2 linked regions of the Drosophila melanogaster genome follow. The protein of the gene in region 2 purifies or fractionates together with the protein of the main gene of each other region. This does not show direct contact. Each region holds a gene or a part of one and is shown on either strand. Other genes may lie near its edges.

What was found.
Region 1: the proteins of mesh (region 2) and Ssk purify together in Drosophila melanogaster (affinity purification with western blotting; one study listed by BioGRID). This does not show direct contact.

The regions. Positions count from the first base shown.
Region 1 is NT_037436.4:20,186,746-20,190,354, reverse strand, and holds Ssk (snakeskin), read right to left. Parts: upstream 1,834-3,609; 5' UTR 1,644-1,833; coding exon 1,593-1,643; intron 1,364-1,592; coding exon 1,167-1,363; intron 1,036-1,166; coding exon 795-1,035; 3' UTR 576-794; downstream 1-575. UniProt on the Drosophila melanogaster protein: Required for assembly of smooth septate junctions (sSJs), together with mesh and Tsp2A. May be important for barrier function of the midgut epithelium.
Region 2 is NT_033777.3:31,193,699-31,197,628, forward strand, and holds the start of mesh (mesh), read right to left. Parts: upstream 2,065-3,930; 5' UTR 2,019-2,064; intron 1,812-2,018; 5' UTR 1,757-1,811; coding exon 1,360-1,756; intron 692-1,359; exon of another isoform or gene 599-691; coding exon of another isoform or gene 1-598. Other genes in the region: bnk (bottleneck), read left to right, coding at 1-598; CG1544 (uncharacterized protein), read left to right, coding at 3,314-3,437.

The sequences.
Region 1 (3,609 bases), on a different chromosome or scaffold from region 2:
CAGTTTCATGGTTCCAGAGGAGGTTCGTCTTGAAGCGTCATCGATTTGGTTGAACAACTCATGAACTCTGTTCTCAGCAAAGAAATGAGTGATATATACCAAATTCTGCGAATCGTCTGACATTTTTCCTGTGTGCATCAGTTCCTAAACAATTAGTTTAGTTTTCCATCAAGTTCTTTAAAAGAATATTAGGTTCTTGGAGAGCAATAGGTTCTCTAGTACTAGTACTAAAAACAAATGAAATATCTCACCAATTACAATATATCAGTATCAGATCGCTTGGAATATGAAATTTCGATTGGGTGTTAGTTTAAAGTCGAAAAGTTTAGTCAACAAATCTAAGTTGTCGTTTTTTGACAAAAATTAGCAAAATGCTTACGTATGATGTATGATATATATAAATAATCTTTCATTAATTGCAATGATATCAGAAAAAAAGAAACTGAGCAACACGATCAATGGGTTCTGATGGTAATTAGTTGATTTAGGTTACAATTGATACTTACTAGTAAGTGGCATTCCATTGCATCCCCTTAATTAGTTCCCAAATGCACAAAAACTTTTATCCGTGGCGTGGTCTTAACTATTTGTATTTGCCAATTTAAGGATGTTAAACGTGAATGAAAATTGTAAACAGTTAGTGTATAGTACAGCGACAATTGACCCTTACGAACGTATAGTTGATAATTGATTGCGGATAATAACTAATTTGCACTTAAATCGATCTATGTATAAAGACAAATGTGGATGGTGTTTATTCGGCGGCTGCGATTGGTATCCCCACTATTCAGTTTCTACTGCGTGTAGTCGGTGTCGCCCTTCGAATAGTGTATGCAAGCCAACACGGTGTCCAGCAGGTACAGTGCGCCCTCGATAACGCACAGCGAGCCCATGGCAATGCCCACTTGACGCTCCGAGTTCACATACAGGAATCCCTCGTCGGACATGTAACCCTTCCAGTAGTGGAGTGCCACTCCGCCCACGGCGATCCACATGATGCAGCCAACCACGTTCATGATGGTGTCGCACAGCTCTCTGAAAAACGGAAAGCCATTGAAAACAAACAGTTGTGAGTTGAGAGTGTGGAATTAAGGGCGGAAAATACAAGAAAAGGAATAAGATGCGGGTCAAAGTTCAGCTATAATCAATATCGGCATTCAACATACCCCTTATGTTTGGTTGTGCCGAAGGCAAAGGCAATGGTGTGGCATCCAGTGTAAATCAAGAATCCAACCATGACGCCTGAGGCTACGATTTCCGCATCGGCGCTCTTCTCCTCGTTTAAGTTCCACGTGCCGCCGATGCCCAGGAATTCGCCACCATCGCCCCAACGGTACAAGAAGATGATCACCAGATTGATGATCTGCGAAAAAGGAGCGCACAGGAGAGCAATTAAATGAGGTCACAATTGGGAATGGGAATGAATGAATCACTTCTTGGCCACGCCTCGCCTTGCCGTACAACTCGGCGTATGAGTAACATTGCTAATACGCCAGGACTGATAAAACGCGCGCTTATCTATCAGCCGAGTTATTGCGACCACAAACAGGCTATTGCTCAATAGGAAGGGACCAAAGAAGCCCAAAACTTACCAGCTTCAGGGCCTTGATGAAAATAGAGCCTACAGTCTCCACGGACACCATTTCGCACTAGATATGCTGATTGCTCTTATCGCTGAGCTGGAATTTGGGCAAATGCTTTAGTTCACAGAGGGGTTTCTCCCAGTCAAGGGGCACTCACAATCTTTTCTGTAATTTTCACGCGGAAACTACAGCGAAATGATTCGTTTTCGTATCGTTGTCGTTCGTCGACTAAACTGAAAAATATCACTGAAAGGCAACCAACCAACCTGTCGCGCCCAGTTCGTCGTGTCGCCAAGAATTTGTAGCTTTTGCAATCAGAGCATACACGGTCAGCGATAAGATAAGATAGGGCTCACGATAACAGGTGCCGTTCGAAATGGGTTACTAATTCGTTGACGGTTCAACATGTTCAGGCTCCGAAGCCCAATGAAACCCAGATGCGCATGCGCCAGCCCCACCCGCGTATCTTATCAAAACGGCCTTATCGCAGCTCTGTCGCCTTACATCGCGATATATCAGGTGCTCCGATTTGCCGCTTTCCACAGCATTGTTACACATTATTCATGGCGGCCACAAAGCCACAAAACGGGGAAACATACCCGCGGCTCTGAGAGACCGGAAACAATTATTCTTGCGTCATCGATGTATTTCTGAAATACTTTCGTGGTGACCCATTCCCATTCCCACTGATAAAGCTCCCGGTGGTGCATCCCTCGAACAGATTAAAAATTCACTGACCTTGTCACGATTCCGATGATCGATAGCCCAGTGGATTCCAGCTACTGATTAAAAAGTCTCAGACACACAAAAAGTCACTGGAACCTAATCTGCATTTCAATTATCACAACCCTAGCACAATAATCGTGGCTGTAGGTGGCCCATGTTCGAGATTTCGAATCAATTGGAAGAGCACAATGCAAAATGATAGGAGCAATTGGGGAGCAAAAAAGCAACTTGCGGTTGATGTGGGGTTCCTCGATTTACATATTGCCTATTTATCACAGTAAAATGGTGTATAAAAATACAACTCTTGGATGAATGGTGCGTTTTAAGAACACTGTGTAACATGAAAAGCAAACAATTTTCAGGTCACGAAGAAAAGAAAGAACTTAGTTAGAAATAGTTACAGTCCCTTGTTTCTAAATTCAATGTTTAAAAACTAATTGAAAATGGATGCATATGGTTTTTGGACAAATGAATAATTGCATAAGTTTGGAGGGCGTGGGAAATTAACTATACTGCACATTTGGCACCTCGTGCCCTGTGTTTTGTATTTAAGGCCGACATTAAAATGTGCTTGTATAAATCATAAGTTCAGAACATGGAACAAACATGAGATCACACCTCATCAAGGGTTTTTTTTATGACCCGCATTGAGTAGCAAGTATACACACTGATATTCATGAGTACTATATATAAACAAGTATTATTTACGCTGTGCCGAGGGTATTATTGGATTTCATTTCAGAAAATTTAATTTTAGCATACAACTAACTTTCCAACCTAAGCTTTTCAAAATAAATATGTTGTTTTAGCGGAAATTGTCTCTTTTGTATACAAGTTTTTAAAATGTGATTAAACGTGCTTGAATGCCTTAAGAATAGTATTTGCTTAGGGAAAACAAGTAATTGAATAAGATTTATTTAATTAAAGGTAATAAAATTAAATTTGAGCAAGGTACATGGATACTGATTTATTTACATAGATCTGCTTTCCATTTTAAATGCAAGTTGTCTGATGCCTGGATAAGCAAAGGAATATCTTCCCAAATCAAGGCCAAAGGTTGTCGAGTTCTTTGTTTTCGTTCCCCCATTGCGAATGCCGCTCAGCACCGCGGATTCTTCCCCACTTCTCAAATCCCCATGTGGAGTCCCAGAAAGCAAGCGACGTTAAATTTGGAATTTGTCTCCTCTGCATTTGGTTTGTTGCGATGAATCATCAAGCATTCAGAGAGGTGGGGAAAAATCGGCGTCAGAACAACAAAAACCGGCATGCAACTTACACCAACACAAGTGCAGTTCTCGTG
Region 2 (3,930 bases):
TAATGGCCAGGAGAAACCACAAACCGCACGACAGCAGGAACAGCGACAGCCACAGGAACAGCCACTGCAACAGGAGGAACTGCAGCATCAGCAGCAGGAACCCACTGTCACCGACAAAATCAACTTCTTCAACAAGCTGACCAACACCTTTGAGTCGGGTTTCAGCAAGCTGATGCCCCAAGCAAGCTCCACCAACAACCGCTTCATAGCCATGTTGCGCACCGCCCGTCCTCAAAACGTTGCCACAACCACCGCCAACAGCAGCACCGCCAACAGTTTCCTGGGCAGCGACCACAGTCTCAGTGGTTCCGTGACCGGACAAGTGCCACCACCCAAGCCCAAGAGACTGTCGGCCACCACCGCCCAGTTTGCCACTCCCCATGTACCAGCCATGGGCGTGGGCAAGGGGGGCAGCCAGCGCAAGTGCTCCCTGCGCCGCAAGCCTTCGATGGACAAGTCGAGGGCCACCATCTCCCGCCAGAGTTCCAGTGCCTCAGTACGAACCCAGAACCACGCCATCATGGAGGACCTCAGTCTAGTGGTTCCCGTGAGATTGCGCATCGCGGAGTACGAGCAGCGCATCTCGATGAGTGCTTAGGTCCAGAAACTAGGTTAATTGTAAGTTCCAAAGGATTGCCTTACTTTAGTTATAAGTTAGCCTAAGCTTCTAAAGACAGTTCAAATATAAGATAAAATATAAATATATATATGAAACAAAATGTAAGCGTCTTGTTCTTGGCAAGTGAGGCATTACAAATATTACAATATTTTTAAACCATTACTCCTTTGCAATCGGTGAGTAATTCCACATATATATTTCGATATTCTATTTCTGACCAAACCCTTTTTTATTACACAGTTACATTCTAACAAATGACTGTGACTAATACGGCAAAAATTCCAATTCCGAATAGCCAATATATCAGTTCTAGGGGACTGATAAAACAGAATTGCTAAATCCACACACTACCACAGGTTGTAAACTGAATCACGCAAGACTCCGTGCTCCCGCTGTCCGCCGTGTCCACACCTATATTCGTGTGCATACATATGCGTATATTCACTATGCCACCACGCACCTGTTTTGTTTGCCGAAGCGGAAAACAAGAAACCGTTAGCTTTTTAATGCCTCAACCTGGGGCATTATCTTATCGGGAAGAACACAGAGCGAGAGAGAGAGAGAGAGAGAGAGAGGGGCTTACAGCACCTACACCTGAATGCCCGAACACAGGTTATCGAGCAAATATTGGTAACTAAACCAAACTGAAACCCACTGAGCTGTTCTGATAAGATAGTCAACGCGGCGTATGAGTAATGGGGTGGAACTGAATCAGCCCAGGGACAACGAAACCTACTCACCCCAATTGTAGCCGCTGTTGTCCACGTCGTACAGCTCCCCCAAATAGTCATTTGGCATGATGAGGGCTCCGAACATTTTCTCGGGCTTCAGTCCCGCGACGGTGAGGATATCATCTGTTCCCCGACTGCTGACATGCACCACGGGAATCAGAGTGGGCTTCTGCAGGGCCAGTGGTTTGGTTTTCGGGTTGTCCGCTTCCGCTTTTTTGGGAGCGGGCGTGGCCTTTGGAACCTCAACGAATTCCGCCTGAGCTTTGGGCTTAGTCACCTTGACCGGCTCCGGAACTGCATTGATTATTTGATCCTCGAACTCCTCCGTCGATATATTCTCGTTAGCCAGGACAAAGGCCATAAACCCGCAGGCCAGCGCACAAACCACAAACAGTTTGAAACGCATGTTCACTTGATTTCGATTTGTCACTTAATTGGTAATTCGTTTTTTCGTTTCACTGCTAAAAGAAAAACACAAAGGCATCAATTAGGCATCCACAATAAAAGTATCACTCAATAAGCACTCAATTCATGCGAATTTGTACACTATTTTTCCTCTGATATCCTCATTTTCTAACAATTTTCACTTGATGACATCATCAGTTAAGGCAATGGCTTATCAGTTCTCTTATCACTTGTCACCAATTTTCAATTTTAACTTTAATTACCAGGCAGGAAAACACGTTCGTTGCAGCGAGCCGCTCAGCTAAGACTGAAGTTAAGTTAACTCTAACGGCCCGATCGGGGCGTTGCCAAAACTCAGTTCACCTGTCGCCGTCTACTCGATTGTGAAACATTGCCTTATCGGCCAGATAAAGCTAGGCATATCTTATCAATGGAATACTACGCACCGATAACGCATTCCTTCTTCGGCCCGCTTGGCTTTTTCGGGAAGCTTCACTCTCTTCTCTGTGCTCCAAATTTACCAACCTATTTGTTTATGCCCATTCGTGGGACCGTTACCTATATTTCTCTCTGTTGACAATGGTCTCTGGCAGATTTGTGATTCACTTCCATTACAGTTAATCATACTCATGACGCGGCCATTTTGTGAAAAGCTGAATGGGCTGTAAAGCCTAAACATGTATGTGTGTGATGCGAAATTGATGAGAGCACGCTTCCGGTTTAATTATAGACAATGACCCATTACCGACCATTAATAGGCATTTCCGATGAAGCTTTAGAGTTATGAATATCAGCCGCCCGTAAAAAAGCCTACTGATGGATTTCATTAGGACATGAAAGTGTCATGGTCCTCATTAATGAAGAAATCAAGTGCAGAGTGGGGAACTCCAAATTAATAAAATCAAAGCGTTTTGAGGATCAACTTGTGTGACTAAAAGGGTATTATAAAACAATAATGCAGATAAACATTGCTATAATAAAAATCGAAGGATAAGATATATTTTTATAGTGGTTATTGTTAGGGGAAAATTGGTGTTGAAAATGTACCCCATATATCTTTTAAACAAACGACAGCATAATTATGTATAAAATATATATATAAATATAAAAATGTTTTTAACTATGGTACAGTTCATTTCAATATATTCCTGAGCATATGTATGACTAATTTAATGGATACAACTCTTCCCTCTCTCAAAGGCAATCCATTATTGGCCAACGAACCTGTTGCATTATCAGCTTTAGTTAACTGATAAGAAACTATTTTGAAATTCATTATCATCTCATACATGTGTTTAACAAGCGCTCTGTTAATTAACAGCGATCATATCACACCACCAGCCCAAAAGTAGGCACTACTTTTCGGAGGGATTTGTTCTCTCCCGGTTTATTTCCCAGCTTATCAGCAATTTAGTTTATTTGGAATATGGGGGTCCCGGCTTCAAACAAAAGTGAATTGCCCTTAGTTCTGGGTCGAACGGCGGCGAGAAGAGACCGCGATTTCGCTGCGAACTTATCAGGTGATCCGGCATACACGCCTCGTTTTTAATCCATCAGCATGCTGCGTTATCTGGCGCTTTCGGAGGCGGGAATCGCAAAACTGCCACGCCCACAATCGCGGTGCTATCACAGCGAAAAGGGCGTTTGGGGCTATAAGCCGATTGCCCAGCGTGAATTTCAAGGTACGGTTGTAAACAAGTGTGTTGCCAAGACTTCAATAAAAACCTCATCCGTCGAGATAACCATCGCATCGATAAGAGTCTTTCGGGATCAAACATTCATATGAATGGGCAGTGGAAATCTACCCAAGCAAAAAGAAAAACCGACGAAGTGACATTGTGTGCGTGTGTGTGCGTTCGTGTCGGATTTTCCAGCCGGCTATTTATCAGCGGAATTCAAGCAGCTGACCCACAACAATCCCCGCAGAAACTGCAATAAAACAACAGCCTGAACAAGAGATCAAGTGCAAATTGCTGTGGGTGAATTCGAAAACCAGTTTAAAGAAGATATATCATTTGTATACCCTGTAATCGGAGGGTATATACGGGAATACGTATGGATACCTAGGATTATTTTCACTAACTTCAGGTTTAACTTAATTTCGCAAAATATTTTTTAAATTGAAGTTCATTGTTTATGCCTCTCATACTATCGAGAAAGAACAGCTCCTGTTGA